3 separate regions of the Mus musculus genome follow, and all the other regions are reported to be linked to region 1. Evidence: microRNA targets listed by miRTarBase, many of them from high-throughput screens and not tested one by one. Region 1 holds a microRNA gene; each other region holds the end of a gene's coding sequence.

Region 1 (4,620 bases):
GAAAGCTTAATGTCTACCTCTAGTGAGCTGACTCCTCGAACAAGGCCACACCACACCTTCTAATCCTTCCCAAAACAGCTTTACCTACTAGGGACCAAGCACTCCAGTATATGAACCTGTGAGGGCAATTTTTATTAAACCACCATGGGAGTGTATAGTTAAACTAATAAGGATTACTAGGTGATGAAATGTTATGTGACTACTATTGTATATGTAGTTTGTGGCTTACCAAACACCATGTAGTATGTGACTATAGTTCTGATTGTATGATAGTGTGCTGATATGTGGAGCCAGTGGTAAGTTGGGCAGTCCAGTCTTTGTAGCATGTGCATACAGGAGGATGAAAATCATTCTCACTGTGTACGATCACATATACATGCCTGAGAAGCTGCAGGATGCACTTCCTTACTTTAGCCTCCACTTTCTAAGTGTCAAACCTGATTCATCACGTTCTCAGCACACATAGGCAACCTTCAAATGCAGAGGCCCACTGACAGCTTAGCAGGAACAGAGTCCTGCTCCCCTAACCTTGTTCTCTTACACCTCTAAGGAAGGGTAGTGGGCTCTCTTGGTTTTCATCTTTGACGGAGCTGTTATAGGAAGGTATACTTGTTTGTTAACACTGACATTTTTGTAAACACATACCTAGACAGTCATAGATATGCTTTTGCATCAGCTGGGTAGATAGGAGAACAAATATGAATGAAGCCCATCTATAGCTAGGTGTACATCATATATAGGCCCGTGAGCATAGAAGGTTTCTTTTGTTTGATACACTTGTTTTCTCATAGAGAAAAATGCCTTACTGTCATTCATTTATATTCGCTCTCCCCCCTTCTCTACTTCTCCCCTCTCTCCTTACTCCTGACTCTCTTCACTCTCTGTGACATATAGTAGGAAAGTGAAAGATTGAAACTTGTGATTTTGTCTTTCATATCCCTCACAGAAAGGGGTGTGAACTTCGTTGATTTAGGCACATTGAAGAAGAATTACCAGAGAGCCAGTCCTTGCATTGCCTTTTACAGATTCTCCGAGTCACTGATATTCATGCCTCCTTCACCTGGCTTTTGCATATATGAGTATGACCATACTATTGTAAACAGGACATTCATTTAGACACATGTGTACAAAAATGGTAGTGTAAGAGGTAAAAATAATAGCCAGGGGCCAGGTCCTGCATCCTACTCTAGGCTTGCATCTTACCTAATTTTTTTGGTACTCTTTAAAGAGATAGCATTTGTTATTCTCATTTTTTAGAAGTAGTCCATGACCTTGGAGAAAGCAGGTAGATTCTTTAATCCAGTACATGGTGAAGTATAGGTTTGAAACAGGGTTTGTAGATACCAAACTCCACAGTTTCTCTGTCTTATCCATGATGCTGGTAAGGTCCCCAGCATCACCCAGCCCCTTTTAGAAATACAAAATCTTGAGCTCACTAATGAGAAACCTCTGTAAGTTATCTTAGTACCAAGTCCTCCAGGTATCTGAAGTAACTTTAACAAGATGCTGATGTGTGTTAAAGGATGCCAATCTCTACTGCCATCTTGTGAGCTTATGGCCTCTTCTCTCTGTCTCTCTGTCTTTTTTTCTTTCAGTATTTTGTATCTCTGGCTTTATATTTTTATAATCTCAGAACAAAATATGAATGTATATATTTAGACAGGTTTCTCTGTCTCTGTCTGTCTGTCTGTCTGTCTGTCTCTCTGTCTCTGTCTCTCTTTGTCTCTGTGTCTGTCTGTCACTCTGTCTCTCTCTCTCTCTCTCTCTCTCTCTCTCTTTCTGTGTATGTGTGTGGAGGGTGCAGAGGTCAACCTGAGGTGCTTCCCCTTTGGGGACATCTACCCTGTTTTTTGAAACAGTCTCTAATAGGGACTTGGCACTCACCAGTTAGGCCAAGGGATCTAGCTTTCTTTGAGTCCTCACGCTTGGCTCTTTTATGTGGAGGCTGGGAGTTGAACTCAGGTGCCTAGACATACTTAATGTGAAGCTCAAGAACATTGTCTTCTTTCTCATCACAGATAAGCACCTTGTGTCAAAGGTGAGCCCATGCGTTCATTTGCTGTGAGCCTTTTGCCCTGCTTCAGTTCTCTGATCCTTGCTACCTGGGTGAGAGTGTTCTTCAGCAAGGATTCTGAGAGCCAGACCTTTGTGTTTGTAAAGGACAGAGCGCATCTCTCGTTCTCTTTTAGTGTGTTGCACACAAGCATATTGACCACACACAGGAAGGGCAGGTTCCTGAGCCTTCTTGCTTGCTCCCCCTCTCGAATCCTTGGAACCTAGGTGTGAATGCTGCTTCAGTGCAACACACCTGTTCAAGGATTCAAAGAGGCTGAGCCTTGTCTGCGTGTAGAATGGCCCATACTTGCACATCTCACCTGCCACCTTCCCTCCTCCTGGCCACCATTTGATTTTGGTTTTAGCTGTCAGACTTGGTTCTACACATTTTCTAACAGCAAAATGGTCTTTATCATGTTTGGTAGACATGCTTCTATTCTCAGCATGAGCTTTCTTGATTCCCAGTTTGCTAAGTGTCAGATCATGTGATGAGGAGCACACATTAGGTGCTGCTACTCAGGCAACCCGTTTGTTACATCCAGTGATAACCCCTGTTCCACAAAGCTTGAATTGTATAAAGGCATTGGAAAGGAATGGAGTATCCTCCTCCACTGTGCCCTCTTTCAGTATGTATATGCATTCTCAGATCCCAGCCTTCTTGCTACCTTCCAAACATAAATCAGGCCCCCACAAATTCTCAAGTATGATCTGGGAGAGATACCATTTTGTATACGTAGAAGTTTTCTCTGAGAGAGGATGCTCATGGTGGGAAGGGGGCAGATACATATATAAATCAGGGATGTCAAGCTTGGGTATAGGTGGTGATGCTTGGCTGAATCAGGACAAGGAAAATTAAATATTATATACAGAACCACACAAACATGGTACAGGTGCCTGGGCCTTCTGCTCTGCTCATCCTCTCTAATCCTTTGTCCCTGGGTGAAAATGCTATTTGTATGCAATGCACCCGGGCAAGGATTTGGGGAAGGTGAGCCTGATCTGCATGGAGAAGGACAGGAGGTCTGTGCATCATATCTCATCTGTTTGCTGCTTGCATACTTCTTTTATGCCTCCCCCCACCTTCTTTCCTTCTACAAATACAACGGGCATGGTGCATGGGAGAGTAAATGTGACAAATTTGGCCTCTTCCCACCTAGATTTTATAGGTAGAACTTTATTTCCACTTATGACCCTAACAGGTATCAAGAACAAGTGGGGCACATAGTAAACTGTGTATTGACATAAGTGCGCAGCTTTTCATTCTAGTTCTCATACCGACACCTGGAAGAGAAATTCTTCTTTAGTTCAACTCTTGGAGGAATGCACAGGGCAAGAACAGTAAGCCTTCTTGTTGAACCCACATGCCAAGGGCATAGGTGCAGGCTGTGCCTTTCTAGTACTTGCTACTTGGATGAGTGTGCTTTGCGAATGCAATATACCTGGGCAAGGGTTCAGACATTGAGTTATCTTCATGTAGGACCTTTACGCCTCCTTCCACTGTTTCCTGTCTATTTATTCAGTATGGCAGGTACTCAACTAGGGATTTGGTCCACAGGAGTATGAACCACATGTGGTTCAGGGAGCAAATGGTCCAGGGAGAGTGAGCTGTGTCACATCCATTATGCCTGCATGAGTGGACTGTAGACTGGGACTTCATGTACACTGTCCACTTGGATTCTTCCATATTTTAACACAGTCCCATATAAATGCAGTGTATACAGAGGAGAGGATTCACAGACTTGTGCCCACAGAGAGGATTATCTGACCTGATTCATCAGGAACATTAATCCTCAGCACAAGTGCTGTTTTCAATAGTAAGTCCTGTCCAAGGAATCCAAAGGGTGGCACTTCGCCTGCACTTTAAAGGACAGAGCCCCTATATGTCCACACCCCTGTTCCTTTTCCTTCCTTTCACAAATATTCAGGTATGCACTATTTGATACAGCTCTGTTAGTCATAGAGGATGTAGCAGGAAACAAAATGAACAGAGGTGCTACTCTCTTAGGAGACTAATAAACACACTAAGATCCTTGACTATTATAGACTCACCAACTGCTGTTCAAAAGAATGACCTAGGTCTATTGTTCCTTGTTTTCTATTCTGTATGAATGACTCAGTGCAGGGTCTGATAGATGAGATTTCTCAAACTATTCCCCCTCCCATGGCCCTAGATATGCCTAAACACATGGGCCTACGTGGAGAGGAGTCACTCGCTCACAGGAAGAGTGGATATGGAGCCTATTGTGTTGTTCCCTCTCCTCATCCCTTCAGCCCGAAGACCAGTAGACTAAGTGACTTCTTGTCAACTACCATCACTACTCCCATTTGAAGACAGGAGCTTACTGTCTTACTGTGTAGCTCTGTCCCTCAAGCTGATTCTCCTATACCCACCTCCATAGGTCATACTTTTCTACACACATTTGCAAGCTGGCCTGGGCAACATGTGATCCCAAAAGAAAAGTGAATCTCTTTCATGTTAAAAATAGTAGTCTTTATATCATGTATATTTTTTATTCAGATGAGGGAGGTCTAACTAAGTAGCTTAGTCCAGCCTGGAACTTGCTG
Region 2 (3,008 bases), not on the chromosome of region 1:
GCAGGAAGGCCAGAGTCTGGCAGGCAACTAGCAGTATTTGGTGAAAATTCTTTTCCTCTCTCTTCACCCCTTTTTAGAAAGCTCTGGGAAACTGCTACCAGATGACCTTAAGCACACAGCACAGGGAAAGATCAGCCTGACACCACGACGTGAACTGTGCTATCCTTGGTCTGCCATACATACTCGACCAATGTCCAGTTGTGTCCAGCAGGCAGAGACCTTGCTGTCTCCTGCTATCCCTTGCTCTGGGCAGTTCCTGACAGAGGAAACAACTAAGAAATCACTGTGGGAAAAACACTTAGAGCTGAGGCATATGAAAATAAAGTACTTTAAGGCAATCTTGTGAACTCATCTCTGCTGAGCTAGCAGAGGTGGCAGGGCAGGTGGCACAGAGTGGGTGAGGCAGATGCTGAGAAGCTGATTCAAGCATACTTTTTTCAAATGCTGGCACAAGACCACAGGGAGCCAAGATACATTCATCAATAGCATTTGGTACTTTGACCTGTAGGAAAAGCTAAAATGGGTCTGATGTACCGTGCACCATACTAAGACTATTTAAAAACCAAAGTATTGTCTTGACTGTGACTCCCATATTATGACAAGAAGACACTGTGACATCAAGATGCACCATAGAATGCAAATGTTGTCATGTGATAAGAGATACTAAATGGTCTATGACCAACATGCAGGCTATTCTTTCAAAGACAAAAGAGCAATTTTTTTTTTATCATTTAGGGCAAGAGTAACTAAACATACTTAACACAACCCTATTATTTGTAAACTAGAAATAAGTTCTGCTTAAATAAGAAATCTCTCAATGAGATATCCATTCCAACAAATATAATAGTAATCGTTGCCACAAGAAATTCAGTGACCTTTTTAAAAAAGATTATAAAATTGAATTTATTGAGTTTCACACAAGATGCACTTATAAAATTAGTACTGAATGCCATTATGACAGAAGTGAGTATCATCCACACTCCCAAGAGCATCTGCAAAGGAAATGCAATCTTCAGAGAACAGCGCGGAAACAGAAAACTCAAGCGGAACAGAAAGATACACCTAGGTCGTGCTCTTGTTCTGACCAGGGCTGCGTTTGGCAAAGCTTTTTCCACACGGCTCCTGGTTTCCATGGACACTCTCTTTCGGTAAAAAGAATAGTTTAAAAGTGGGGCCCCACTAAAACATACACAAAAGAATAAAAATGTTCATTTTAAACTTAAAATTGCTTCCTGGCTTTACAAGGCATAAATATATAGTATCTCCAACAGCTATCTTTAGATTCTGTTAGTGCAAAACATTAGAAACCCTCCTGAATCTCAAATGCATAAGCCAAAGCATCCAAACTAGTTTTATACTTATCCAGGATACAGCAAACCATTTAAAATTTGCCATCTGTGCCCAAATATTTGCATGAGAGCTGAGTTTCAGAAGACAGCATAGGAAATGAAGTTAAGAGTACCATCTTTTAGACAGTTCAGATCAGAAATGGTCAACTTTCTGTCTAAGAGAAGTGCAGAACAGACTCTTAAGATAAAGTAGGGTGTCGAGAATTTGTCCTGGGATGCTAATAGGTAGTAATGAAGCAGGAATAACATCTTTATCTCAGATGAAAACCCCAGAGCACCTTTTGGTTGCTAGTTACAGTGTCCCAAACACTCTACTTACGGTCGGTCGGTCATGTGAGGGTTTCCTCCCCACACAGAACAGACCCACAGGCAGACAAATGCATTTTACAAGCCCAGCAAGGTGACACTGCTCAATCTGCTGGGAATACTTTAAAACTGTTACTCAAACCAAAACAAAACCCAACAAACGAGCCTGGCACTAGCAACAGCTATGCAATGGCTATTCGCCAATTCAACACCAAATCCTTTAACTTGGAATAACCAATGAAGCAATTAGCCTTAAAGCAAAGCCAGGTCACACTGCACTTGTGCCTTTTACTCTGTTGACATTGCTCTGTGCCTTTTATTGTCACTGGGCCCGTGTCACACAGCTCACACTCTGCCCTGAGTAACCGAGGCAGCAGGAAGCATTTCTCAGTGACACATGACCTTTATAAAGTAAATGACTGGGCCAAGAGCTCACTGTTTCTCATAGGACGCTGCTATTCACCACGTTGTAGTTAAGTGGCCTTCTGTTCTGACTAGCTCAGATGTATTGCCAAGGATGACTCTGGTGGTAAGAACGTCATCTGGACTTAGATGTAGCAACTTGTCAATGCTTTGGCAGATGGAGTCAAGTCTGGAAAGAGTGTGTGGAGACAGTCTGAGGCTGGAAAGGGAACTCATGGTAGAAGCGTCACAGTTTCCCAGGTGTGTCCTTATCCTGAAGAGGCCTTGAGGAGAACCCGACGATCTGGAAGCCCAGGCTGACGAAGGAAAGGAGCTTCTGCAGTGCTTGGCCAGGTGCTGGAAGCAGCACTGCTGTTGGCCACGCAGGAGGAAGTGTTCAAGTGTCAGCATCCAGAGTCAGGGCCAGAGGCCACCGCTGCTCCGTGATCTGCCCTTCTGCAAGGCCACATTACTGGAAGAAAGATACTAAGATTTGCTTGCCATTAATAATTTAAGTTTTTAAATAAATATTTAAGTGCCATTTTTAGCAAGTGTCCTGGCACCCAGAATTTGTGGCCCGGGGCCTGACATCTTCATCTCATTAGTCACAAACTCAGTCAATCCGGTTCCCGCAAATTGTGAACCTGTCTATTTCTAACAAGTCTTTCTTTGAGGATCTGTGCTTTAACTCAGAATTTTCCTGTGTTATGTCCTTCTCATCACCATCTGGGGTTGTCAGGAACTGATCAGAATTGCTAGTCACGAGTAAAGGTATGACGTTTTCTTTCTGATGACCAGGCTGGCTGGTGACGGAGGCAGACAGGTTTTCTTCTGTGGAAAGGCCTGTGGAAAAGGAGATAATTTCTCTTCAGTCACAGCAAAAACTCATCAAACTACTTATGTCTTCAGAGTACTGGAAAGTATCTGTCATCTTTCCTCTTAGATACACCA
Region 3 (3,008 bases), not on the chromosome of region 1:
GCCAGCTTGGGATTCATAGCAAGTCCCAGTCTTGAAAAAGTGAAAAATAATTTTAAAATGTATGTCTCTCTTTCTCTCTCTGTCTCTCTCTGTCTCTCTGTCTGTGTGTGTGTGTGTGTGTATGTGTATGACAGGAGCTCTGATTCATTGTCTACTATGAAGGTTTTAAACACAGCACCCTTGTCTCCTGCAGTTACAGAGGAAAGCCGTGAAGAGCCAGCATTTCAGAACTTCATGGAGGAGTCAATGGCACACTGGAAGAGGAACAAGTAGGCCCTCCCACCTGCTGTACAGCTCTGATGTGCTGAGTCTCCATGCAGAGGACATCCTTCCTGTGAACCAGGGCTGCAGTCAAGAGCAGTTTTCTCCCAAATGGTGACTTCTCTGAGGGAAACTGGGCTTAGATGAAGTCTGGTTGAAGGCGGAGCTGGCAGGTGGATGCCCATTCTTGGGTAGCTCCTCCCGATATTTATGCAAGGATGTATTCTCACCGCTCTGGAAGCTGAGAGATAGCTGCTGAGCCTATAACTTCAAGTATCATCGTTTGAACTCAAGTATTTCTGCTGCTGATGGACAGAGAGGACGTCTGTCCCAGAGACGCTTTGGACCTTGACTAGCTGGGTCTGTGGGCACAGCAGGATGGAAAGGAGAGTGTGTGTGTACAGAGGGCAGCACAGTGCCCTGGGCAGCCAGGTCGGATGTGATCTGTGCTCACACGAGGTAGCCCATTTTCAAGAATACTGTTAGGATGGTGACTTGGATAAAGATTTTGACTTTAACTTTGTGGTAAGCTTTCCTGTCATGGTTTGATATTAGAAAGTATGTGATCACTAATAGATTTCCCACTATTAGTTATGACCAAGCCTTAAAGACATGTCTGGTAGGATATAATGCATAGTAGGTTAGTTTCCCATGTCTATCCACCTAACCATGGCCAAAATCATGTCCTTATATTGTACTTAGAACAATACAAAGCATTGTTTGTGACCAGGATTTGGTCCATTCCGTCCATTCAGAGCTAGGATTTGCCCTGGTTCTCAGGAGTGTAGTAAAATCACGAGCCAGGCAGTTCTTATGGATACACCTCCAAATCAGCTTTCCTAGAAACGGGGTCGGGGGTGGGGACGCAGCAGGCTGGCTCATAAGCCTTCCAGGTGACTGCTTTGCTCTTTGCAGAACTGTTTCAGGTCAGCCTGTGACTGAACCCCAGGGCAGGTGACTCAGCCACCCAGTCCTCCTAACGCGCCTTCTCCGGCTTCTTGCCCGGCTTCACATGGTGCCTTCTCTCCAGGGTTACTTCAAAGCAACACAGAATTAAATCTTACCATTAACTATTTAATATTCCATAGCTGGTGGGAAATGCTGATCTAAAGAGCCTCACCTTTTTCTTTTCTTTTTTAAAGACCTTTCTGCCAGGTTTCATGGTGGCTGTCTTTAATCCCAGCATGTGGGAGGCAGAGACAGGTGAGCTCGAGACCTGTCAGGGTGACATACAGAGTGAGACTATGTCTTAAAAAAGAAGACACCTCTGGCTGGGCGTGGTGGCGCACGCCTTTAATCCCAGTACTTGGGAGGCAGAGGCAGGTGGATTTCTGAGTTCAAGGCCAGCCTGGTCTACAAAGTGAGCTCCAGGACAGCCAGGGCTACACAGAGAAACCCTGTCTCGGAAAACCAAAAAAAAAAAAAAATGAAGACACCTCTGCCTCCTGAGTGTGGGACCTATAGGACTGGGCTATCATGCTTGACCTATTCTTTAAGGGGGAACCATACACAGAGCGGAACTGACATGCTCAGCTCTTTTCCGTGGTGCCCTTTCCTTTTCTTTCTTAAAATGTTACCTCTCTCTCTCCTGCTGGCAGCTCTCTAAGGGTCTTGTCTTTACATCACTTGTACAAGACCTAGTATATGATGTGGGGAAACTAATTAATGTTGCAGACTAGAATATCTGGGTAGCTCTTCTGAGCTCTGAGCAAAATGGAGAACTCCCTTTACCAGCAGCCTGTGGAGCCCAACACCCCTACCCCCTCTACTTGGGAAAGGCAACTTCCTCTTTCTGGATAAGAACCCGCCCAAAAGTACCTGGCATTCATGGACTACTTCTCCATACAAATGAGGCATTCACAGTACTTTAAACTCTAGCCAATGATTTTACAATCACCCTGGAAACTCCTTCCCACTCTCCATGGTTCATATATATCCCTTGTCCTTCCTGAATAAAGTCCACAAGCCCACCCCAATAAAGGTGTGTGCACCAGCTGTTTCACCGAAGATTGGCTAAGATTCATTCAGTACTGTCTAAAGAGCTATAAACTAAAATCCCTGGGGAAGCTGCCTCCTCCCTCCACTACACTTCATCCTTTCAGCCTGGTATGCAGCAGTACCTGGACATCCTGAGAGGGAGAAACGGAGGACACATACTACAATATGGAGGTGCTTAATGATTGTTTCCTAAGTGAATTCAGTGTACTAACTGCATCTTGGCCACTTTATGAAAATGAAGATGTGATCTGCCTTATTGGGTTTCTATTTCCGTGTCGAGAGAAACCATGACCACCTCAGCAACTCTTAAAACAGACATGGTGCTGGAGTAGCTGAGAATTCTACATCTTTGTAGCAGGGAAAGAACTGAGACACTAGACCTGGCTTGAGCATATGAGACCTCAAAGCCTGGCCTTCTCCAACAAAACCATGACTACTCTAGCAAGGCCACACCTCCATTCCAGATGAGCCTTGGTCCAGTTTCAAACTACCACAAGATTAAAACAGGATAGATTTAAGAGTGTTAAAGATTAATTTGAGGGGCTGGAGAGATGGCTTAGTGGTTAAGAGCACAGACTGCTCTTCCAGAGGTCCTGAGTTCCAATTCCCAGCAACCACATGGTGGCTCACAACCATCTGTAATGGATCTGCTGTGTCTGAAGACAGCTACAGTGTACTCATATATATAAAATAAATAGGCCTTAAAAAAGATTAATATCAAAAATCCTATTTTAAAATTAAGCTGTAAC

Evidence for each region. The annotated mature microRNA mmu-miR-362-5p reads AAUCCUUGGAACCUAGGUGUGAAU and lies in region 1 at 2,265-2,288, shown strand. An mRNA with a match to its seed (bases 2 to 7 or 8) in the 3' UTR can be bound and repressed. Matches are read on the target gene's strand: a 7mer-m8 pairs with bases 2 to 8, a 7mer-A1 pairs with bases 2 to 7 and ends in A, and an 8mer does both.
Region 2: the mRNA of Tapt1 is a reported target of mmu-miR-362-5p. The part of its 3' UTR that is shown has no 7-base or 8-base seed match.
Region 3: the mRNA of Gpn1 is a reported target of mmu-miR-362-5p. Seed matches in the 3' UTR shown: 7mer-m8 at 475-481.

The regions. Positions count from the first base shown.
Region 1 is chrX:7,239,687-7,244,306 of GRCm38, reverse strand. Mir362 (microRNA 362) reads left to right here and starts at 2,261; the gene lies at 2,261-2,325. All of the region lies in intron 2 of Clcn5 (chloride channel, voltage-sensitive 5), which reads left to right. Mir501 (microRNA 501) reads left to right here and starts at 2,956; the gene lies at 2,956-3,064.
Region 2 is chr5:44,174,283-44,177,290 of GRCm38, forward strand. It overlaps Tapt1 (transmembrane anterior posterior transformation 1), which reads right to left. Exons shown (of 14, transcript NM_173764.3): 14 at 877-2,900. The coding sequence ends at 2,671. Among named protein-coding and RNA genes, the nearest start is that of Gm42427, 35 kb to the left of the region's middle.
Region 3 is chr5:31,510,639-31,513,646 of GRCm38, forward strand. Gpn1 (GPN-loop GTPase 1) reads left to right here. Exons shown (of 14, transcript NM_133756.5): 14 at 194-2,266. The coding sequence ends at 273. Among named protein-coding and RNA genes, the nearest start is that of Supt7l, 15 kb to the right of the region's middle.